2 linked regions of the Oreochromis niloticus genome follow. The protein of the gene in region 2 interacts with the protein of the main gene of each other region in a biochemical or structural test. Links are inferred from orthologs where the notes say so. Each region holds a gene or a part of one and is shown on either strand. Other genes may lie near its edges.

Region 1 (12,556 bases), on a different chromosome or scaffold from region 2:
CACATCTCTAGCAGCTGGATGCTTGTTGGGTGCTGCTTCAGGCCCTCCTTGAGGTATGTGAGGAGGCAGCCGTTTGCAAGGTACTCAGTCACTATATAAATAGGCCTTTGTTTGGTGCACACGCCGTAGAGCTGGACCAGGTTCTCATGGCGAAGCTTCCTTGTTTGAGCAAAAAGAAGAAGGAACTTAAGCACTGTGAGCTGGGTTTCCTCAAAGACATTATAGGAACTACCATTCCCAATATGACAGATCAGTTTTATGAGTCTTGTGCACAAACAGACTCATCTTATAGTGAGTTAGATATTCAGCTATTATCATTTAGTTGTGCTTACATCATGATTTTTGCTTCTTCTATGAAATCATCTTCTGACATGGAGCCCTCTTTAATCATTTTAATGGCCACATCATGCTGTCCCTGCCACTTCCCATACTTCACCACTCCAAATTGTCCAGATCCCAACTCCTTGATGAAGGTGAGGTAGCGTGGGTCAATCTCCCACACACCTATGTCGAACAAGAGAGATTGTGCTCTTTTAGCATGCAACAACCTCATTAAAATAACTGCTTGACACGGTGTATATATCTTTTTAGCGCTGCTGCTGAGAGATGAATGAGATACCACTCTTGGTTACCATAAACACTAGAAAAAGTTTTTCTTTTATCAAACTAAAAACCAGGTGATCGGGTGCACAGACAGAAAAACATTTTTAATCTTCTGATCTAATGCTATGCACAAAAATGTAATAACTTTGCCAAATATACTAATAGCACAAAACACTGTTAAAACAACAATCAGTATCTTACATGTTAGCTTTTATACACTCTCTGAAAGCTGTTATGATAAAAAAGAATACATTCATAATCCAAAAAAGCAGGTGTAATTAAATTTCATCTGCAGTTCAAGTGCTGTCATAATCTTACCATAACCAAGGCCTGCTGTGGATGGGGGCCGTGCCCGGTTAGATACGATGTGTTTCAGTCTGCTAACCATGCCTAGTGGGGGAGATAACAAAGCCACATTACCTATTAAGATAGTCATTTTTGATAGGATGACTGGAGTATGGATTGTAAGGACGAACTAATTCATTGAGCTTTGAGATGTGAGTGAAAGGGCTACAGAAGACGTTAAAAAAGGAAAATAAAAAGTGTTTTCGCATTAAAAAGCAACTGTAAATTTAAGTTAAATAAAGTGGAAATTAATAATAAAAAAGAATAATTAAACCCACAAAATGTCCAATGCCCCCCCTAACCCCCACTCAAACTTGCTTATGACTCATTTCCTTTTTCCTGTTACCGTAACCAAATTTGAAAATGAGTTTATTGTGTAACAAATACCACAGTATTAAAGCTGAGACTATGTATCCATATGACCCGGGCAGTTATATTGACCTGCTGCGTTGTGCTGGTGATAGTTGATGAGCTCTGCGATGGTGTTAAAATTATGCTTTTCTGCCAAGTAATACTGGCTCTGCGGGGTGGTGCAGATGTTATAATGTCGGCAGCTTCCAACAGCTTCCCTGAAGAGAGAAGAGTAACACGAGTAGATTTAGTCCGCACGTTTTCACTGGAACCACCGAACAGGAATCATTTATCATATATGCATAATTAGGTAAAATCTCCTCAGTGTTCTGAACAGGGTAGCTCAGTCTTGGAATTAAAAAAAAGTACCGCAGACACATTAGTCCTAGTTTTGCATAAGTCATTTACATCTCTCTCCCTCTGCGGGCCACTGTTTCCTCTTTCATTACAAACAGTTCTTCTTTTCATGCGTTCACACATGACTGGAGCTAGTGGATACACTATATAAATGGTAGCAGTGTTTAACACCACTAAGCTTACTCACCCGCCACCCTTTGTGAGCAGAGACACAGTGTATTTCCCAGCCTTGCTGGAGTCCCGTACCAAGAAGCCTCCATCTTTGTTCTGATTACAACAACATATTTCATAAGTTTTGACTTAAATACAGTCCGGAAACATATTTTTAAGTGGAGCAACATGTCACATCTACATTTTTAAGTACATTGGTAATGACAGTCATAGGTTTACCTCAGCCTTTAACAGTTTTTCTGCTTGACTACGGTTCATATTCTTGCAATACCAGCTGTCAATAAAAAAATAAACAATTTTTAATTCTTCCTGAATGTTGTTGTATTAGTCCAACAATAAGAAATGAATTCGAGTGCAGATAAGGAACAAAGAATGAATTAGGTTAAAAAGAATAAAATTTATAACTATATGTGACATTAATACACCTATTTAGGGGCAAAGCAATAACACTGATACTCACTCGAATCTTTCTAGCCCATCTTCAGCTTCTACAACATAATTGCTTGGTATATAACCCTCTTTCCTGGAAAAGAAAAGAACATCAACAGATGGCACATGCAAAATGTGAGCTTTTGCTGGACCTTAAAATATTTGTTAACACAAGCAGATTCTAACTTTTACAAATCATTCAAGTGAATCATGTATTATATAAGTTCATTTCTACTCGTTATGCAAAATTTATGAACTAACGAGCCGTGTAGCCCCGGAAGCCACTTTTTGAACGTTCTCTTATATGAATGATCTTTAATCTGTGTGCTTCAAAATCATCACTGATTATCTGTCTTTATCATTATAGCGCTTGTAGTTGGTTTACTTTAGCTTCCATTGTAAGTTTCCAGGGTAAACTGATTGCGCTTGATTTATGATTTGTGTGATGGGCTACGTGCGGCCACACTCTTCTTACGAGACACTTTTTGGGTCACCTCCAGTCAGCTTACCCATATTTGTCTCGAGCTCTCCACCAGTTTGCATCGGACTTTTCCAGGATGGTGTACTCCTCATCCTTCCTTAGCTCCAGGTCTTGTGTTGTCATGGGTGTGTAATTGTACTCAGCTACAACTGTCATGCCTGCAGAGGAAGCTGGTGGGTCAGGAGGCTGTGGAGGTAAAGGACGAGTAGGCTTTTTCTGGAAAAAAAAAAAAGATTGCTTTTTTTCATATAGAAGAAAACAGTGTGTACTTGGTGAATGTTCATCTCAAAGTCCTAGGTCTATACCTCTCCTGGGGTTGGAGGAAGCGGCTTCCTTGTTGACCTTCGAGATAGCTGTGATGTCACTCCTGTAAAGGCATTATTTGATATATTAATTCAAAAGTTTAGGACCTGATCATTTTAGACTTTAAACTAAGGGGAGTCTAATTCTCACCATTCTTACTATCGAGCACTTTGCAACCCATGGCCTGTTTAACTTCCTGGTGGCAGCACAACCACACCCCATCAACCCAGAAGCACGGATGGTACTTCTGCATCAGATCACTGTTGAAGCGCACCACTGTACACGCATATGATCACAGAGTTTTTCAGATACACAAGATATGGTCATGTTCATGAAAGATGATAAGAGATACTGTGACGGCGTGAGAGAATATACATGCACGCTTACATTCTTTGAGCTTCTTTATCCACTCAGCCCGGATGTCTTCAGTCTTAGAAAATATATACAGTGGCCCTTCATCATAAATGACCTATGGAAAAATCCACAGCGGAGCAAGACGGCAATTTTCAGTATTTTTTTATTTATTTTTTTCAAGTTTGGTATTGCAGAATAGATGGCTGCAAGTGTGGCAAAAGTCTCTTCAAATGCGTTCACAGAAATTCAACACATGAACCCACAAAGTGTTACTTTGCTTTTTCTTTAATTAAGACATGTTTAGCTTGAACTTTTACTATTTATGGCAACATTGGCACTAAAAGCCCCTAGCTCATCTGAGTGTGAGAGGAAGTTTCACTTCTTAACAATTAACTTTCACAGTGTTAACTATTGGAGCACTGAACAGTCCCTGGAGAGCCTCACTTATGCTGCTGTGTGCTGCTTGTACGTGTTTTTTTTTAATACAAAGTGTTTGTTGTTGTTCTTTTTCTGCAGCTCTATTCTTATACAATCTTCCTGTTATGTGTTCTGGCCCGAAGCTAAACAAGAGAAGAGATAGCAGTGAAAGCAAGCAAAGTGTATATTTTATATAAAGTTTAATCAGGTACAAAGCATTTGCATTTGACTCTTGTTTATAACTTCAGTAATGAAAATTGGATTGAAAAATATCTACCTGGAATGGATACATGCGCTCTTGTGGGGCATTGGGCTCTGGCTGGACTGTCTCTACACACTTGATCTTCTCTAGGTCAACTGACCCTTTCAGACCTTTTCGCTTCTGCTTAACAGAAGAGGAAACAGTCAGGTAAGTCCAAGATAAAGACCCAAGTGTTTATTTAGTGGCTCAAGGTTGCCAGCCAACATTAATATGAAACAAACCTTTCTTCAGTTCTATATACATACCGCTTTGTCTGTGTCAAAGTCATAGTAGAATATTTTTTCTGCTGTGAGAACAAACAATCTCTCTTTGTAGTTTAAAGGTGAGGTCTTCTTCTTCTGTTGAGATCTTTTAATGAAGACTTGTTCCAGTATAGAGTCTGACATGATTCAATCAGGATTCAGCTACACTGGAACAAGTGACAAATGGATACGTTTAAAAAGACTAATCATGGCGTAACACAGGGCTTCTCCACTAAACAGCATGTTCTCACCCCGACTATAACAGCATCCGTAATTCTGCTGAGAGCTGTGACTGGCTCACCCATTGTGACTGTGCTCAGCATTATAATAAAGCCTCATGTTTTGCTGAACTTTACACTTATTCAGTGTTTTCATTTCCTTTGAAAAGCGTTTTAAAGAATGTAATACCTACCCACTGTTCATAGAGTTGGAGCAGTGCCACTACAACAGGTGAGAGTGGAGATCTGGAAAGAGATGAACAGGCATGCAGTGTTAGCGCATATCATTGTGTGATTAGGTGTAGTTTGCATAAGCCCTGCTTTTCCTGACAGCAACATCCTCGGTTTCCAACATTTGCCTCTGTGGCACATCTGTTTCTCTTAGCTGTTACATCCTGGTCATCTGGATACAGTATTTAACTCGTCTTTGCCTTTGGAATGAATATCAAGTGCCTGATTTGTTGATCCAGAAACCTGGCTCAATACAGTAGTATAGTTCTTTCATTTTATATAACTATACAGTCTAGACATGATCCATTTTATTTCTAAATAAAATTTGTTTGCTGGCAAACATATCATGTAATATATCACTCTTACTATCAGAAGGCTTCCTTCCCCTCGGGCACATTTCTACATTTTACCACGCACATAAGATAAGTAGGCAAATGAAAAAGGCTCTCTTTTTGCTTTATGGCAGTGTAGTGTGTCTTGTTTGCAGCACCTCCTAACCACCAGCGCTGAAATGAAACTTGCACCTCCAAAACAAGACACATTGATAGAATCTGAGTGAAGGGGAGCATACAATAATTTCTCTTTGTGGAAATTAGTAACATAGCAACATTAACAGCCTGATATTTTAGGGGAAATAAAGATAGCTGAAACTTAATTCAGCATAAATAGTGTTGCAGTGACGGTACACGCAGAAAATCACGACAACTGATGGAAACAAAGCTGAAAGATATTGATGTTGATGATAGGTTGGGAAGCAAAGTCTTCTTTGGTTCTGACCAATGCAGAACTAAAACTAAAATCTCACCAAATGACCAGAAGAAAAGCCAAGGTATTCCCATCACCACATTGTTCTAAAAGTGCAACAAAAGTGCACCAATGCAGGGAAGTTATTTGTTACCGGTTACCGCTCAAATGTGAACTATCAAATTCTCAGACTCACCCTCGTTACACGGCCGAATGCTCACTGTGTGTCAGTTTCTGTCAGATGTGTGCGCACTTCAACTCAGCCTATTTTCAGCTTAGAGAGAGAGAGAGAGAGAGAGAGAGAGAGAGAACTTCCTTCTATCATCTCAACTGTAACTGTAGCACTACGAGAAGCTTCTGTTGCTCTCTGCTAACGAAGTCTGACATTTCTTCACACTCGAGTGACACTACCTGCTGGTGTTGTTTGTGCCTTCATGAGCAGACAGAGGTGTTCCCTATTCTGTGAAACATTGTTTACTCATTCCTCATTTAACACGACCCGTGTTTTCTCACATCACTAACTCGAGTGAAGGTCAATAAACTCTGAGGGCGCACGCCCAAAACCGTGATATGTGCCTCTAAATAAGTGAAGCCTTTTGACTGAACTGTGCAGCTACTAATGCATCATGGCTACTCAGAGATTTTTTTTTTTTTTTTTGCCTTTTCTGCTGGGAGTTGACTCATGGTGGCTGACACAGACAAAGTCATAGGGAAGTTGCATCAGTATTGCGTTGCAATATGAAGAGAGAAGAAACCCTGTGGCCTGCACCTCTTCTTACCTGACAGTATCTCTTTTTTAAATGTTGCTGTGCATGATTTGGACATTTGAAAAGCATGTAATCTACCAGTTTTTGCAGGTTCCGTTTGTAATTTATTCTTCTGTGTGTGACCTGGACTGTATAATCTAAAACAGGCCAAATGTGTCACTACACCCTCTGTGCGAAAGGCAATTAAGTAGCAAATAAATCATTATAAATTATCATTATTGGCATTATTGTTTTTTTATTCTAAAGTGCACAAGTTTTGACTGCGTGATGTCTGATGTGAATGACACAGCAGACACAAGCTTATCATGAAAGACTAATGTTAACAGGAACCTGTAAAGATGCTGTGTTTCCTGATGTTTCCTGGTAGATAAGTGCTATGTGCAATAAAATGCGCACTTGTGTATGAGTGTTTGCGTGTGTCTCTGTGTGAGCATACGTAACAAAGAAAGAAAAAAAAGTGAGTAATGTCACAAGACTGATTCTAACCGCAAAGAATACTCAGGCATATTAAAATACCACATAAGTTTAACATTGTGGTAACTTGTGAGAACTATTTGTCAGAATACGAGAATTTCCCATGATGCACATGTAAGTATTAAAAATGATAATACAATCTATGACAGTTCAATCCAAGCTATCTGCCATGAAGAGTCAGTAACTGTGTGAAAGTACAACCTGATTAGTGATAGTGATTTGCTATACATTGAACCACTTTTCTGCTACAAAGAAAGCACTTTGATAAATAATGTCAGTGTATGCACATAAAGGATTATCAGCACTCTGTCAGCGCACAACAGTACATTTATGTCCAGAAAACATTCAAAACTTTATAAATCTTTAGACTTTAAGCTGAAAATGTCACTTGTGGACTCATAATTTCATTGGTTATTTCACAGGATTTGCATACAAACGAAATTACATTGGTTTTCAGTTGAGTACTTGCACTAATCTATGCTACTTTTGGCCTCGGCCTTTCAGATGAAGTGTACTCAAAGGTTGCTTCTCTCATTTATAGTTCTGTGAACAAAGTGCGACTAAAAATACCTCCTTTAGAAACAAGTGCTGCTTACCCAGATGTCGAAAAATGACACACATCAGACAACTGCAGATGCTGAGGCTTGAAGAGTGGCATGGACCTTTGCCTCAGTAGCTGGCTTTCCATAAAATGTGTGTTGGTCTGTGATGCAAGAAGCTTAAAACACACCCACAGAGAGGAATCGACAGGGCTTACTTCCCCTTTTTCTTGCTGCTAATTTTCATATCAGCCTTCTGGACAGTTTTGTTGATAAGTGGAAGCGGGCTAAACATTAATGTGAGGCCATATTTGGTTGTTACATATAGTTACACTGTAACCTGAGGGGATTTCTTAGTTTCTCACCTGCTTATTATGTTGTTAAAAGATATTTCAAAATGATAACTTCTGCAGGAATTAAAGCCTACTCACTGTGAGTAAAACGTATAGCTTGTGTTTTAGTATATTACTGAGGCACTGAGTTTTGTCAGGTTTATGCTGTGGACTCCATGGCTGTCACTCTCCTTAAAACTTGGGGTGTTTGCAGTCTTTTTATGGTTTTGGCTTCTTTGCATCTCCGGCCGCTAGGGGGCAGACCTCTCTACGGCTGAGGTCGACTACGGCGACTTTAAGAACTGCTTCCGGCCTCCTTCTTCCTCTTTCCCTCTGCATCGGGTTGCAGCCATGGTATGCTACCATTACACCTAAAACAAATCTAACTCAATCCTGCCGATTAAAGTACAATTTCTGTATTTGATACACCCGGTTATGTTGATAATGTCACGATGTGCGTAACGATGGCGGTATTGGCCATCTTTGGTGTATTTAACGTTGTGATATTGATGGATGCTATCTTGGTGGAGAAACGTCACTTGGTTTTTCTACTCCAACCGGCCTTTCTGTCAGAAGCGAAAAAAACAAAACAAGCTAAACATTAAAATCAATTAACAGCTATGTCAAAAAGTGTTTTGCTTTGTAAAAAGTGTTGGAGCATCACTTGTTTACGCTGTTTTCTTTAAAATAGCGATGCTAACGTGTTAGCTTGCCCCAACACTGCCGGCCACAGTTTAAATGATAAACTCGGTGCTTCTGTGTATTAAGGTCAATTTCGAAAATGATTTAACAAAACTCTTTATAGCTGTGCGCTTTATTTTTGATAAGTGTTGTGAGTTTTATGGCTTGGGCCTGTTGGACGTGGCTAGTTAGTCCGCGTTGTGGTATTTTGTGTATACTGCACGTCTGCTCAAATGTTATTCTCTGTGTTGTGCAGGTGAACGTCCCGAAAACCCGCAGGACCTTCTGCAAGAAGTGCAAGAAGCACCAGCCCCACAAAGTTACCCAGTACAAGAAGGGGAAGGATTCTCTTTATGTACAGGGTGAATATGTTTGTCCTGTATTTAAGGGATGCACTGGTGTCTAACGCCAAAAAAGTGTCTGTATATAAAATATTGACCTGTGATCTGTCAAACACATCTTTTGTAAGTGATATCAAGTCACTATGAGCCAGAAAGAACGTTCCTGTCACAAAATACAAGCAGTTACAAGTTTATTTTTCAGTAGATTTGAGCAAGAGTGTAGAACAAATTGCACCAAATTTAACAGCATCTCTATAAATATATTTTAGGTAGCCAAAAAGGACTGGCTTGATGACGTGTAAAACACAGGGTACAGCTAAGTGTACATATGACAAAGAGTCATAGGGATTCTTGGAAAACAGGTCATTTCTTTATTTTATATATAACTCCGTAAATTCTGCTTACTACATCTACCTACTAATATAAGCAAAGATATAATATATATAATGTCACATATTTTGATAAATCAATCAGATTAGTGTCTTAGCACTTAATATATCTGCAATCTTTTTCCTGTCACAGAAGGGAAATTGGCCCATATTTGCAGACATTTTACAATCTTTTGTTTTGAACCCATGCATCAGTGCATCCTTGCTTTATTTTATTAATTGTTCAAGTATGTGTTGACTAAACTCTAAATGTTTTTCAGGTAAGAGAAGATACGACAGAAAGCAGAGTGGGTATGGTGGTCAATCTAAGCCGATTTTCCGAAAAAAGGTAATCATCGCTTTCTCATTCAGTGCTGTAATAAAAGTGCGTCCTTTTCCAGATTTATATTTTTCTGCTAATTTTGTCACACTTTAAAGTTTGAGATCATCGTCATACTAATTTTTAATATTATAAAAAAATAACCCAAGTAATTAGAAAGCACAGTTTTTACTTTGCCCTGTGTGAAATCATGATTTAAGTGTAATTAGCCACATTTTTGGGGTAGTTGAGTTAAATTTCAATAGCCTCTCCCAGGCGTGAATACTGCCATATCTGTTGATATGAAGAAGTCACTTACTTCAATGTGTTGTAGAGGTTTTAAGTTTTTAAAAATATCAAAAAGCAGCACATCACGCCACAATCTAAGGGAGTCAAGAAACGATGACAAACAAGACATTGATGTTATTAGTGCGAAAAGGGTTGCAATGCATTTCTTTGGCTTTGGAAAGGTGGAGAGAGCCATGATCCACAAATGGAGAAAACTTGGGGACAGTAACGAACCTTCTCAGCAGTGGCTAGCCTATCCAAATTACTCTTAAGGGCACATCTATGGCTCATCAAAGAGGTCACAAAAGATCCCAGAATAACATCTAAAAAACTTCAGGCCTCACTTGCCTCAGTTAAGATCAGAGTTCAAGGTTCAACAGTGTGAAGAGAGTTGGGAAAAATGGCGTCCATGGGAGAGTTTAAAGGTACAAACCATTACTGACCAAATGGTTTCACATTTGTCCCCCCCAAAAACCATCTTGCTTAACTCCAAGACAGAAATATTCTGTGGACTGCCGAGAAAAGAGTTGAAATTTTTGGAAAATGTAAATAATGTTACATCTGGCATAAAACATACAGCATTTGATAAATACATAACAATCGAACATGGTGGCAGACGTGTGATGGTCAGAGGCTGTTTTGCCGCTTTAATTGATGGAAATATGAATTCTGCTCTCTGCCAGAAAATCCTAAAGAAAAAATGTCCAGCCGTCTGTTTGTGCCCTTATGTGTAAGTGCCCTCGGGTTATGCTGCAGGACTGATCCAAAGCACAACAGCAAGCCCTACTCAGATTATCTTTATCTAGTGTTAAAATGCTAAGGTGTGACAAGTTCACAGGAAAAAAATGATTATGAAAAGGGTAAATACTTTCTCACAGCATTGTACTGTTGGATTGATTGTGTTGAGATATGTGAGGGGAAATGACACTCACTGAAATACTGTCACACAGGCTAAGACTACAAAGAAGATTGTGTTGAGGCTCGAGTGTGTGGAGCCCAACTGCAGATCCAAGAGAATGCTGGCCATCAAGAGATGTAAGCACTTCGAGTTGGGTGGTGACAAGAAGAGAAAGGTAAGACTCACATATGTCCCTGGTATTGTAAAGGTTAAAGTTCACTATTCTTTACAACATATTCTTTATATTAACTTTATTTCAGTAGTACTTTTCAGAGTGGGTTTAATCTCTGCTAAAGCTACAGTTTGGTGTCAGAATCATCCCACAGAAATCTGTTATCAAAATATTCTGACTTCTCATATTTGTAGGTAATTATCTTGTTACACATTTAAAATTTAATAACCTCATGTTTATAACCCACTATTAGTTTTTCATGTGACATATTGACATCTGTTGTGTTAATCATGATAAATTACGGAAGTAACGCGGTGACAGCATGATAAAAATGCACAATTTGCATATCAGCTGGTTTTTCACCTAAACATGGATTTCCTGTTCAGAAAAAATAGTTTGTATAAAGCTGTTGTTACACATGCACTGTAGCCTTGCACGCTAAAGATGGATATTGCTAGATATCCAAAGAAGGTGCACGAGAATGCAAATGCCAGATGCAGTTGGATCGGATATGTAATTATCTTGAGCCTATTCACTCTCTAGTCATCCCGTTTCCTGTCAAAATTGTTCGTTCTGGCAATTGTTTAATTTTTCACATGTACATATAAAAATGTGGATTTTAGAATATTTGTCGAAGCTTCTGCCTAGGCAACACTCTTCAAGAGGTGGGAAAAATACCCCCAACAGTTTTTTCCAGTAGTTTGAAAGCGTCTGACACATGCTCTGTGTGTTAGACGAGGGAAAGGGCCACCTCTGACCGTGTCCCGACTCGATTCTGCCCACCCTTTTCCGATGTAATTAGTGAGAAACGGCTTTTGAAATTGAGTTGTGAAAGAGGCATGGCCACATGAGTAAATGCGTCTGCGTGCATTTCACACGCTATAGCAACACAATCGCATTAGGAAATGTTTGTTTGCTGGACTTGATAAATATGCAGCCCATCGTGGATTTTAACTGGAGCATATTTTGCTTTCAGTGACAGATTGTTTTTCTTTTTGTTGTTTTTTGTGGTTAGTGGTAAATTGTATTTGTTTTGATGAGATGGTGACTCTGGGTTGGGTGTTGATTTATTGTGGTGGTTAAAATACGATGCATGAGTTGATCTCATTATATATACTGTCAATACAGTTATAGTTTATTTATTTTTACAAGGTTTGCTGTTGAGCTTCTCCTTTTCTTTATTTTTTCTTAAACATCAATTATTTTTTCTTCCTTCAATACAAGCTCTAATTCATGATTCTCAAATTCATGATTGGCTACCTTTTATTTCAGTTTCAAATCGCAACAACAGTTTCCTCAAGGTGCTTTGGCTCCTGTGTCCCCATGACTCAGTATTCATCTGTTGGGTTACCTCATTAATCAGACTTTACATTTACTCTATTTAATAGCTGCTTACTGTCTTCCTCATCAACAGAACAAAGGTTAAGTCATATCCACTCTGTCTGCATATGTGGCAATACTTTACAACAGGCTGGTAAAGCTGATGAATGTGAAGATACTGGGTTTTATTTAGTCTTAATCAACTACAGTACAAAAGTCAGAATTTAATTATAAATTCATGGCAATCACCAATGTAAATTAATCCAAATATAAGTTGCACATTCTCACAAATGTTTTCCCTCTGTTTTCTTACAGGGCCAGGTCATCCAGTTCTAAACTGTGGTCCAGTCTTATGAATGAAGTTGTCACTATTTTCAATAAATGGATCCAAACATACTTTTGAGTTTTTGAGTTTAATCCTTTTTTCCTTTTTTTCCTTGTACAAAAAATTCAAGCTTTCTCTTATGGTAATTTAACCTTTCAGTAGTCTAGACAGTTAACAGCAAGTGTCTAATTTATTGGATATAAATGGGACCAATGAAGTGTAAT
Region 2 (12,828 bases):
GAATTTGCAAATTGATGACGATTCATTTCATAAATCATGACACACTGCTCTCCCCTCCATAAGCAGCCTTAATAAGTCAAAAGTATTGGTAGTGATATCGTCAGTGCTGGCCCTGTATTTATTTGGTATCACATCGATACCAAAATTTGCAGTATCACACAGCATTACCTGCCGCGTCTGTCAGGTTACACACAAAGCATCAACACCAACCGGAGCACCAGATAACACAGACAGCGTTCCACATGACTTCCCTTTCTGATATCCAACAAGTCTAACCAGACACATCCAGAGACAGTCTCAACTACAGCAGCAGCAGCAGCTGATGACAAAAGCTCTTATTTTTCCCCCCTACCCTGAAACACACAGATGTGCAGAAACACGCAGGCCTGGCAAAACTGTGAAGGAAATCTGTGCAAGAGGCACGCTGCGTGCACTGGAAATAGCATGCTGCGGGCAACGTGAGGCCAGTCGTTAAAGAAATTTAGGAATAGGGAGATGATTCTCTGTAATCGCTTTTTTTTTTAAAGGCCAAGGAAGTTCACAGTTGTTCCTGCATGCAGACACAACAAACATCATTAATTTGTACTGCTAGACGGCAACACGCATGGCATCCCCTTCAAAGGAATACCACGCATTATTAAATTATTAATCCATACTATAGTGGACAACATGAAAAAAAAGAAAGAAAAACACTCCAAAACAACAGCAACTGACAGTTGAGTAAAAACACTAATGACTTACTTCCAGGGATGCAAGTTCCCCTAAAACAGGGTTACATGAAAAGAAAAGCTGCTTGAGCTCATTTCCATAATACCTCCGTGTGCCCCCATGAGCACCAGCATCTCTGGTTCGGTTTTCCTTCATTTGCATGTGCCATGGAGCGACACGAACACTGAATTTTTCCTGGGTTTTTGCAGCTGGAGCATATTGAAATGCTTACAGTAAACGCTGGTAGGAGCTGTTAGTGGTGAGATTAGTCTTCTGGCTGCAGTGCAGGCTCACAGACATTATTCTGGGGGGGGGGGGGGGTCGCAGCAGAGCCAGTGGTTCTTTATCAGACACACAGCGTGAAGTAAATTGGACCGGAGATAACAGTTGGGCTACTCTCATCACCTTTAAACCCGCAGACAGAGGCTCATTTGAATTCAGGACGTGTCCTCTATTCAACATCAGAATTTGACTCTTTTCCACAGAAAGTTGCTTGTTAATGAGAACACAGCCGTACACTGTTACCCTGGAGATACTATAAGTGGCAAAAGTGCAAACGTTTCACACATTGCTGAGCTCGCTGACAGCTGGAGTGAGATTTAGTGTTTGTCATGTGGTTTTTAGCCGAGCTGTGGCCCTGCCTCGGGAATGTAAGTGTGTGCCCGTGTGCCCGTGAACTCCTTCATCACAGCCTTGGGATCACGTTCCTCAGTCTTACAATTAAAAGGCCCTCAGTCGAGACAGATACCAGCAATCCAGAGGCATTTTATTCAGCTGAATATCATCACAGGAGAAAAAAAAGAGCAATCACATCCACCTAATAAATCCGAAGAGCTAATGCAGTGTGCACTATAATCATTCAAAAGAAGGCATACTGTATTACATGTTCACGTATTAAAAACAAACTCAAGCAGTGTAACATTTGTCTGCAGCTGAGGCTTTACGAGAAGGATGCAACGACTGGCAGCGTGTTTTCACCAACTATTCTTTCAGTTACAAGTCAGTTCCCTTCATTCGTTTATCCTTTAGGGGAAAGTAAAAATAGAACATATCACTCTTTGCAACTGTCCAGAAAACCCCTTTGCCATGACTCATTGTCCATGCACTGTTACACAGAGACAATGCTGCTGACATCGCAGCTGCCAGGTGACTGGTACGGGACATGCGGCAGTGGCTGATGGGGAAGTCACTACGGGGTGGGTAAAAAGGAGCGGCGACAGGTGCAAAGTCTGAGTATTATCATGGGGTGGGGGGGAGGAAGACTTTCATGCAAATCTTAATAGTATAAAGTCATTTATTATCTCACTGCACGGTCCCAGGCCGATGCCACGCTGTACGCCCCCTCTTCACACATCTGAATTGATGCTCAGGTTGGCCAAACGTGGGTCAGAGTTTATCTCATACCTGTAATGATACCCCTCCATGTGGTCCCTACAAGCATCCCGGATGTTGTACATCCACCGTTTGATGCCCTTTCTGTTCAGGTAGAGCACCAGCAGGAATATGACACCGATCAGGGCCAGCACCAGTCCCAGGAACACGTAAGAAGTCCCCAGCACACCCTTCATCTCCATCGAGCACTTCAGCTCGTACTTCTCCAACTGCAGAAGCGGCTGGTGTCTCAGGTCCTTGGGGTTCGTGCAGGTCAGGTTCTGGACGTCGACGACCTGAGTGGAGTTCTTCAGCCACATCAGCGTGTCCTCGATAAAGCAGTTGCAAAGCCAGGGGTTCCCTGCCAGCTGGATGCGGAGGTCCGGCTTAAGGCTGAACTCTGCCATCATTTTGCTGGACAGGTGTTTCAGGCTGTTGTTCCTCAGGTCAAGTTCACGCAATGGGGGCACTCTGAGAGTCCCGTTGTGGATGTTGATGATGGAGGTGTTCTGCAGGCTGAGGCTGACCAGGCTGGAAAGATGAGTGAATATGTCGCTGGGAAGAATCACAAGGTCATTGTTGGACAGGTCCAAGACTGTAAGATTGACGAGGTTCCCGCTGCGCAGGAAATTTAGAAGCTCATCTGTGGTGGAGTGATTGTGCAAAGACCTACTGAGGTTCAAGTGCTGCAGTTTAGTGTCATTGGGGAAAGCGCTTTCATTGAAATTCTGGAGTGTGTTGTTGCTCAAGTCCAGCCGCACAAGGTTTGGCAAGTTGTTAAATGCCATCGTATCCACATACTCCAGCTCATTCCCACTGAGATGGAGATCTGTTAATAGCTCCAGGCGGGTTGGGAAGGAGTCCCCACTAATACGAGAAATGCTGTTTCCTGACACAAATAGAATTTTGGTGTTGTTTGGTATGAAATGCGGAATCTTGTCCAAGTCCTTGTTTTGGCATTTCACAGTTTGTAAGGAGCACAAGCATTCCTCCGGGCACCCGTGACCGGACGGCACGATCGCGAGGAGGAAAAGTAAAAACATCACGCCGGACTTTCGGAGCCTCCCTCGCGTGCCTCCGCAGTCACTATCGCACAACGTGCTTAACATGCGCCTCTTGGAGTTTGAAAACCAGTGTGCGCAGAGCGTGCGTAAAGAAATCGCTTTTAAAACAATCCAAGCGTGCGACCCCTGCTTCGTTGTTCGTCCGCGGTGTGGGGAACAAAGGAAAGTTTTTCTAACACTGTTTCCCACGTTTATCCTTTCGAAAAATGCCCCTAGTTCCAACTCCATACAACTACCGCCACACCATCCTTGTTTATGATGAGTCTACATTTCAGTGAAGCAGGCAAACTTCTCCGATCCTGTTTCTTTGTCTTCCCAGTCTCAGGCTTTTCGGAACATTAGAGGTACAAGATATTTTTCCCCTTTTCCTTAGCAAAACAAGCAAATCCAGAATATTTCTTTCTTCTTTTTTACATCCAGTTACTTATTCCGGCTGCTGGTTTCCAAACAGACAAAACTCTCGTTCTCCCAGAGGTGCCATATATTACATACGTATTTCCAGCATTCCGCTCCTCCTAATCGTTGCGAGTCAAGAGGTAAAGACCAACCGCAGCAGCACAGTGCAGACCATTGCAAGGAGGGAGCGTACCATTATTCAAGAAAAGAGGGGGTGAACAGAAAACTCCCACAAGTTTTCTTCGGCCTTCAGTTTTAATTCCACGGTCATGATGATGCTTATAAGTGGTTAATTTTTTTTATAAACCTAACCCGAAACTCTTGTAATATTCATAAATTGGCTCGCAGCTAACCAGTATGTATGAAGAGGGCTGAATAGTTCATCTTAAATGGGACACGGGCTTATGGATAGTTTAGTGTGGAAGTGTTAACATTCATTTTATTCCTGAAAATCGCAGTTACTTTCTGTATTAAATAATAAAATGTTCTATATAGTCTCAAAAAATCAAGAACAGATTTAAAGAAGCAAACCAGTCTGGCTGTTGGATTAAGAACGATACACAGCACTGTCATTATTAGTATTATGATGTGAAGACATTATGAAGATGGATGGAAGGGTTTTGTGCTCATGCACACTTCAGTTGTTTTCTTACATTTTAAATGTTAATATGTCGCTGTTCTACCCTACAGGAGTCTAGGTTTCCTTTTATGAATAACTGTAGCGTTTGAATTGAATGACTTGTCAAACACAAGTTGAAAATAAGTGTAATGAAGCTCTAATAACTCATGAATAAAACTGAAGCGGTACTTGATATTCTAACTACAAAAAGAGGAGGTGACCCTGCATGAGGAAAGGGAGGGAAGGTAAAGGATTATCAGTCCTTATTGCATTTATTAATTCTAGTTTTTACTAAGCCACAGACCATGAATCAGTATTTTGCACTATTTAGTTAAAAGGGAAAAAAGGTGCTTTCATGTGGTCTCTTATGTCAAAGGGTCACCAGATGCCCTTGCTAACCTACTCATCTGGGGACAGTTTGTTTACATGATGAATCTTAAATGTTCCACTTTACCAACAAAAATCATCCCACTCAGCTGGAAATTTTTACTTGGACAAATGAAGGTAACATATAAACATATAGAGTCTAGCAAGGTATTCTTGTCCCACTTTACATAAAATCATTCCACCTAACCATAACCACTTGTTAGTGTATTCATAAATGGTATTTCTTGAACCATTATTCCTTTAGGTAGCATAGGAGTGGCTTTGTTTGTTTGTTTGTTTGTGTGTGTGGCTGGAATCCTGTGGGTAAAAGTATCTTGATTTAAAGGCCTACCTTAATGTTTAAAATTCTGTGCAGTTCAGCACAAATCACATTCGATAAGACATAGTCTCCATGAAAAAAACCCACACATCTAGCCTAAAGGGACTGAAAAGCCAAAAGAAAAATGTTAATGGAAAGACATTCATCACTTGATCTACTGATAATGCCTCATCACCGAACATATATTTAGTGCTATTTATAAGAAAGGGGACTTTTGTATGATTCAAATGCTTTACTATTTCTTTTAACCATCTATGAAGATAAATGAGGAACATCGTGAAGATTTTTTGCATGTCAGCAAAATACTCAATTAAATAACAATAAAGAAAACACAAAAAGTGCCTGGATATTGTGTATTAATATAGTACTATATGTGTAATATCTAAACATGCTTTTGATCCCCATTAATTATGGCATAACTGTTTGGCTGTAATTGTACTTGACTGGGGCCTTGTAGTAGAAGCATCATCTGGGCAATTGAACAAGATTCATAAGGAAAGCTTGAACGGTGAGGGAGGGAGTGCTCATTAATATGGCATATTTAGGAGCAGCCCCTAGTGTGTATCTGAGTGTAAACTTAGCTTTACCCTCCTTTGACCCTCTGCTATTCATAGTCCTGGCCAATATGACAATTATCTGTTTAACTCCATGAAACTTGGATTCTGAATATCTAACTATATGGTGCTTTTCTGGAGAACCTACAAACTTTACATCTTCTGGTTATATTAACGCTAAATGTGGCAAACTCAAAATGTTGATCATCACATAAGTTTTCATTCACTGTTGAAGAAACAATTAATGATCAGAGATGGTTTTTAAAACCTTTCCTATCCTATTAGTTTATCCTCAAAGTTTATATTTAAGTGTGAATAGTATGAGTCATTTAAAAAATATTCAACAATGAAATCTTGCTTCTATTGAACACTTATTATTGTCTTTTCTCTTGATTAATCTGCAAGCTTGTTAAGATGTAATATTTATGGTATGTATGTTTTCATTTTTTGTTTTTATTATGTTATTATTCATTAACATATGTACAAGGCACAGTTATTATAGTTTTGTATTTTCTGATTGGTTTCTGTTTTTATTTCATTTTGACTTTTTGTTTTTAATTCAGTTTAGTTTTAGTTTCGCTCCATACTGGGTTTTCTTTTTTCAGTTTATTTTTCAAACTTTTTAAAAATTTTAACAGTCTTGTAGACACACAGAGTCATCAGCCAAACTGTAACTATGATAATAATAATAGTTATTATTATTTATTTTTATTTTCATCAAACTAAGAAATACTAAAACTAAGGTTTTCCTCTATATTTTTTATTTTATTTTAGTTAGTTTTGAGGTCACAAAATCGTTTCACTTAGCTTTATTTTGTTTTCAGAATGTTGTATTTTTATTGTAGCTAACTAAAAAAAATTATATGCAGTTTTAGTTTTTTATTTAGTGTTAGTTAACCAGAATAATCTCAGCCAGACCCTTCTCAATAATCTTGGTATAGGAAACTAAATGTCCAAATCGCACTTTATGACATCACCCACAGAGCGACAGCACACTCTGAAATCAACTGACCGCCCCAAAAATCCGCCAATAGGACATCAGGATGCAGGAGCCGTGGCCAATCAGAAGTCTTGACATTGATGCAAGCTCTCTTACCTAACCTGCAGGGGCAGATTCCTGTCCAAAATTCTTACCGGCGAAAAAATGCATTGCGTTTTCCATTTGTAGTAATGACACAGTGGATTTACGTCGTTGATGCTACTTTCTCCATGTCCTCTTTTTTCTTTCACTAGCGGAAGGTAAGAAATACCCCGACGTTCATTTCCTTCAGCTGTTAGCAGTTTGCTAACGTTAGCTTGCGATGATGTGTCAGCTAAGCGAGCTGTCAAAGTAGTTTTAGGTAAATGTCTTTAATTAACTATACTGGGCTGATTTTCAAACTTGTCCAAATCGGTGCGTTTATCCCGCTTTGAAATTATCTATGCTGCAGTACCCTGTTAGGCAGGATGAGCTAATATTACTGGGTGAAGTAGCTGCTGTGCACAGCCTGCTTCTGCAGCAAGTTAGATAAGCAATAAGGGAGATACGACTGTTTCTATTAAAGAAATAGGTCCACTACGGCCTTAACATCAAGGGTGTATTAGCTTACCATTAGCTAGACCAAATGGTGAGTGGACAATAACAGCAGTTAACATTAAGCTAAGCTAAGTTAGCCTGTTACATAATCGTGGTGATTAGTCAACATTAAACCTTGTAAACTCAGCTGACTCGAGCTACTTAAGACTGATTTTAGGGCAGGCTTGTTCTGAAGTTTACACTTTTGTATTTGACTATTGCACACGTGATTACATGTAATCAAAATGAGGACGCTGTTTTGTCACTAATGTGTGCTTCAACTTTTTCTCTTTTAGGTACACTCTACAATTATGGAGTTGTGAAAAAGAGGTGTGAAAATTTGGGGGGGAAGGTGGCCTTTCCCCTCAGGTTTGATGGTTGGGACTGCAGAAGAAGGTCAGAGGGCTGGTGAAGTTGTTGCCTTTTGTACATAATTAAATGAAAGACTATTTTTGCAGATGTTGTACAATTTTTTTTGTATAAATTCATAAAGAAGTTTTCTATTTATTAAATTCCTGATGCCATTGTACACTGCGAGCACCCAGCCTTGTGTGCGGTCCTTGGTCGAAATGGTGGACTGAAACGAGTCACGCAGAGGCTCTGGAGTCGCTAGGGTGCGGTGGAACCTCAACACAAGCACAATTCTAGCACTCCAATCTACCTCGGCTGTTTTATTTTTGTCCTATTTTTTTCCAGATTTTTTTGACAGTGTTTGTCTTGTTTGTTGCCACACATTACATTGTTTTTGAGTGTGTTTGCCATTATCGGTGGTGGGCTGGCAGAAGGACTTTGCAAAGAGGAGAAGGGCTTCACTGTGAAGATTTGTCAGAGGTCAGGATGAGTCAGGCACCGCTGGACTGCACCCCCAAATGCCGCTCACAGCAGCATGCAGACCAGGTGGTTGCTGCACTAACAAGTGGCTCTGAGGGGCAGCTCCGGGCTTTCCTGACTTCACACTGCCACAATGCAGCCACTTTGCGGGATGCCTTCGGTCGTACAGCCCTGCACCTGGCGGCCTCACTGGGTAAGAAGGCCCTGCTGGAGTGGCTGCTGGAAATCAAAAGTGCTGACCTGATGCTTAAGGATAAGGAGTCCGGCTGGACCGCTCTGCACCGCAGCGCCTTCTATGGACAGATCCACTGTCTCATATCACTGGTCAAGGTGTGTATTGATGGAGTGCCATCAAAATTTACCAGTGTGTCTATTAAATTATTACCAAGAAGAAACAGTCCAATCAAAGCTTTCAGTACCGTAAAATGACAAACATTATTCTGAAGAGACTCAAACTTTGACCTACATTTGAATTTTGTATTGCAGCACGGGGGACTTCTTTCCACCCAAGACAAGGAGGGTCTTTCAGTCCTGGACTTGACCATGAAGGACCGCCCATCACATGTCTTGTTTAGAAACACTGGTAAGAAAAGCCGACACCCTCAGACGCTGCTTTTAATGCTTTGGTTTTGTTTTGGAGATGTGTTACTTCGCTTGTTCAAAAAAGAAAAGAAACTTGGGCCTATACTACGATTCAATATATATGTGATATCTTTGTCTTTTCTGTCTTCCCTTATCATATCACTGGTAACAGTTAAGTGGTTATCGGCTGGATCAGTCAAATGTAGCTCACATTGAAGAGGCTGTGTTGGCAGCATATGACTAACCACAAATAGGGACAGGTCCGATGGCAACTGAGCAGTCTATTTTATGATGATCAGATTGTAATAGTACAAAAATACAACCACCTGCTGAAAGCAACACAGCTGCTGCAGCCAAATAAGCAAAATGCGAGTGTGTGTGATAGGCAAAGTGCTGCACAGTAGTTCAGTGTTGAAAAGCTCTGTGTAAATGTGTTTAAGTGCACTCTGAGCTTTGCTCACTGAGACCAGAAAAGCTCACTGTGTCAGGTAACAGACTTATCATTATCATAGCTGTGTCACTGGGACACAGGCGATTCAGACATATAATTACAATTGCGTATTCTGTTAAACAGTCTGTGTTGTGTGACGTGTTTGTGTTATTCTTGCAGCTGAAGCCTCTGCGGTGTTTAAAAGGTCTGAAAACAAATAAAGAATAAATATAAAAAACAGAATTTAAACCAGTAACCATGTTTAGTGTGTTCGATTTGATTCAAAATCACCAAGTCAAGAGCTAAAATTCTCCACTTTACTATCATATTGCTATATTGAGGCTTATAAAATGTTTTAAACAGTTAAAAAAAATCTTTAAAAAAAAGTCTTATTCATATTCTGCAAAGAAAGACGAAACTTTAGGTAGTCTGCAAAAGTTCCTAACTGCACATTGTGGACCTCAGTGTGTATGTAGTAGGTTTCCAGGCTTTTCTAGGAACAGTTATGTTATTTTCCAGGGAATGGATTGGTCAGCAGGTGGTTGTTTGGTATGCGTTGATCTCCTTTGTGGAACAGAGCAGTCCAGAGCAGCCTAGGACTGCTCTGGACCGGCAGGCTGCAAACCTAGGCCGCCTGTCAAGAGCAGGCTAGGTTTGCAGCATATGTGGTGTCTCACTGAACCCCAAATCCAGTTTTGCACTACAGGCCTCTTTAGTTAAATCGAACATTAGGTGGAAACAGTGTTTTGGCTTTTTTTTTTTTTTTTCTTTAAATAGTGTTTCTTTCTTCACCTTAGACCCAACTGAAGTTTACACGTGGGGAAACAATACAAATTTCAGCCTCGGTCATGGCAATCAGGAGAGCCGACAGCACCCTGAGCTTGTTGATGTCTTTGCCAGGACTGGAGTTTACATCAAGCAGGTAGGCTAACAACGCATTGCCGTCTTAACATCTCTCAAGGGAGTGGGTACGTGTTTTCCTACCTCACACCCTGAAAACCCAACTCATGTGTATCCCTGTAGCACCAGGAATGCTGTAATAGCTCCGTGTTTTGACTGAGTACCAAGATATTACATTAAATTAAAAAAAGAAGAAGAAAAAAGCCAGTGCACATGGGTGTTTCAGATAAGCCACATCACTTGGGTAAAACCAGTAAAACACTCCTATCCCCAGAGCCACGTATTACACCACCTTCTCCTCAGGGCACCTGAAAATTTGCAAAATGTTTTTTTTTTCCTCCCCCTTTCAGCTGTCCAGTACTGTTTAGTCCACAGCAGCTGAAATAATGCTTATGTTGGAGAGCTTCAAACTGTACCTGCGATAAATGTATTAAGTTATACATTAAAGCATATTACATAATATAATTTGGCATATTGTATTGAGTCATGGCCACATTTCCCGGTTCATCTAGGAGGTGGGGGGATCAGTAATGTTATTTGAGTCTAATACAGCACATTGTTTCTGTATCATCAGGCGTGGTCTGCCGTCTCTTGTACAACCTTCATTTGTGACTTAGTGGAGCTGGTCTGTACATTGTTAACCCCTGCTAGCTGAACTGTGCCAAGCCAGGCTACAGTTTCATGCGTTTGTCATGTCTAGGCTCTTAGTGTGATTAATATAGCTCCTGGAACCAGTTCAATTACCCCCAGTGGCCTGTGTACCCAACGGGTGTCGGAATAAGATAAGACTGTGTTTGCTATATTTTCACTTTCTGTTTATCTGTTGACTAATAATTTATCTGTGCCTAATGTTGTATAATTGCTGTTTACAGCTGAAAGTGTGAGGGTTGTTCTTTTTCTTTTTTTCCCTCTAACCTGCAGGAGTCATTTCATAAAGCTAGTTGGGGACAGGTGGATCTGATTTCATGACCATTTCATGACCCAGTGAGACTCAGTGTAGTCTTTGTCTTCCTGGCCCAATCCAGCAGGTGCCAGAGGTTAAATATTAATTCCACAATGACATGTTTTTAATTAAATGAGCTATACTCATGTGTACGCATGTGTGTGGATGTCCACATCAATGCGATACTTCAGGAGACATCCCTGTGCTCTATTGAAGGCTTGAGGGGAGCGATGTATTAGTAATGATGTTTGCTTTTCCACCTGTGCCCTGGCCTTTTATTGCCGTAGTGTTTTACTATCGCTACAAGAAGGGTTGGCCCAGGGACATGGAAAGAGATGCATTGCAGCCTCGGACGTGAGGTCAAAATTATAATGACAAGAGCATTAATCAGCACAACCAAACACCTCGTAATTTTCCTGTAGTGGGATATGCAGGCTATTAAAACTGAAAGCAACAAGGGGATACCACAATTATGTTTGTTTCTTCTTTCTACAGGTGGTGCTGTGCAAGTTCCACTCTGTGTTCTTGTCTCAGAAAGGCCAGGTGTTCACCTGCGGGCATGGACAGGGAGGAAGGCTTGGCCATGGAGATGAACAGACTTATCTGGTGAGATCTGGGCATCATATCAAAATCCCCCATATATTTAAAACGAAATGCAGAATTCCTTCCTCTTTAATGAACAAATATATCAATGCATTATCATCATAATCATGTGCTTGTGCATTTTATTGCTTCAGCTACAGAAAATTTAGGTTTCAAGAAAAAGTGGTTTTGAAACTTGATCTGGATTTGATATTCATTTAAATCAATTATATTATAATTATAGACAAACACAAACTGATTAAACAAGTAACGCATAAATAGTTTTACTTTTCAGGCCTTCACTGAACACATTCACAGATAGTCCAATCTGGGAAAAAGTCAGCAAATCTTTTATAGTAGGTTGTAGATCAGTAAACATTCCTTTATTGTGTTCTGTAGTTTACAGAGAATTCAGCAATATTGTACAGATTATGTTTTCCTGTTGGATTTGTTGTTGTCAGTAAAATATAGCATTTTTAAAAATAAAACAATTAATCATGAGATTTAATGCACAAAGCTTAACAAAACTTAACTTCATACATCACATTGTTGTTTGATCTTGTGAGCATCTACAGTCCTGAAAATCCTCTATTTTTACTCTTCAGCCGTAAAAGGCTGATGGGTTATTTTCGTCACTCCACTTCGCCCTCAAGTTCACAATCTTGGGTGTCCACATCACCCAAGTGACGTGATTATTCCCACCAACTTTTTTTCTGTCTTTTCTGTAGAAAAGCAGATTTTGTCAGTAACCAAACTGGAGGGGCACTCAATATCTCCTTGATTCAAACACATATTTTAAGGAGATTTTTAAAAGCTGTCAGCACAAAGGTTCACCTTCTTTGTTCAGTTGATACTTTTCAGTACAGGCTGGAAAATGTGTGTTCAATAAAGCCACAAGAAGTACAATAATTGTGTTCACTAGAAGATTATGGTTGTCTATGGGACTTAGAGATGGGGATGGTAAGTGAGAGAGGTGCTTGTATCGCATCTGTAACTTTAACTTTATTAAGATATATGGTACAGAAATGCCATTAAGTCTGTTACGCTAAATGCACGGTCTCATTTGTTTTCTGAGCTTTTAATGGTTTAACCAATAAAATGTATTAAAGCTTATTTTCAAGCCCTGTGGTATCAGCCTTCTGCTGATACAAATTTAACACTTCTTTCATGTACTTCAGATCGGCTTGGAAACAGTTATTAAAGCCTCTGTTTCTCTCTCTTTATTTTGTTTTATATTTTGGTTGATTTTTTTTTTTTTTGTCTCATTCCTTTTTTCTTTTTCTTCTTCTTTTTTTCAGGTTCCTCGAATGGTAGAAGGCCTGATGTCCCATCACTGCTCCCAGGTGGCAGCAGCTAAAGACCACACAGTGGTCCTGACAGAGGAAGGCTATGTTTATACGTTTGGTCTCAACACATTCCACCAGCTGGGCCTAGTTCCTCCTCCCGCCTCTGCATTTGTACCTAAACAGGTAGGAGGTAGCAGTGGGAGCTGCTGATGTTTTGCAGTGAATCCATAAAGGATTGGTTTACCTTTAATTAATTTGGTCATTATTAGTATATAAAATGACCTTATGAATTGATGTTATC

Evidence for each region.
Region 1: the proteins of ibtk (region 2) and btk form a complex in vitro, tested with the Homo sapiens proteins (2 studies listed by BioGRID). The link is inferred for Oreochromis niloticus from reciprocal best matches to the Homo sapiens genes IBTK and BTK.

What each region holds. Positions count from the first base shown.
Region 1 is NC_031966.2:17,462,318-17,474,873, forward strand, and holds the start of btk (tyrosine-protein kinase BTK), read right to left. Parts: upstream 7,477-12,556; 5' UTR 7,346-7,476; intron 5,783-7,345; 5' UTR 5,705-5,782; intron 4,780-5,704; 5' UTR 4,728-4,779; intron 4,483-4,727; exon of another isoform or gene 4,478-4,482; 5' UTR 4,460-4,477; coding exon 4,319-4,459; intron 4,194-4,318; coding exon 4,089-4,193; intron 3,510-4,088; coding exon 3,428-3,509; intron 3,317-3,427; coding exon 3,191-3,316; intron 3,105-3,190; coding exon 3,043-3,104; intron 2,954-3,042; coding exon 2,766-2,953; intron 2,351-2,765; coding exon 2,288-2,350; intron 2,102-2,287; coding exon 2,047-2,101; intron 1,924-2,046; coding exon 1,844-1,923; intron 1,518-1,843; coding exon 1,390-1,517; intron 994-1,389; coding exon 922-993; intron 505-921; coding exon 333-504; intron 160-332; coding exon 1-159. Other genes in the region: rpl36a (large ribosomal subunit protein eL42), read left to right, coding at 7,972-7,974, 8,558-8,663, 9,292-9,359, 10,568-10,690, 12,323-12,343. UniProt on the Homo sapiens protein: Non-receptor tyrosine kinase indispensable for B lymphocyte development, differentiation and signaling. Binding of antigen to the B-cell antigen receptor (BCR) triggers signaling that ultimately leads to B-cell activation.
Region 2 is NC_031976.2:14,393,809-14,406,636, reverse strand, and holds the start of ibtk (inhibitor of Bruton tyrosine kinase), read left to right. Parts: upstream 1-6,488; 5' UTR 6,489-6,657; intron 6,658-7,001; exon of another isoform or gene 7,002-7,025; intron 7,026-7,269; 5' UTR 7,270-7,810; coding exon 7,811-8,134; intron 8,135-8,290; coding exon 8,291-8,387; intron 8,388-9,613; coding exon 9,614-9,738; intron 9,739-11,154; coding exon 11,155-11,265; intron 11,266-12,539; coding exon 12,540-12,710; intron 12,711-12,828. Other genes in the region: tpbg (trophoblast glycoprotein), read right to left, coding at 2,055-3,371. UniProt on the Homo sapiens protein: Acts as an inhibitor of BTK tyrosine kinase activity, thereby playing a role in B-cell development. Down-regulates BTK kinase activity, leading to interference with BTK-mediated calcium mobilization and NF-kappa-B-driven transcription.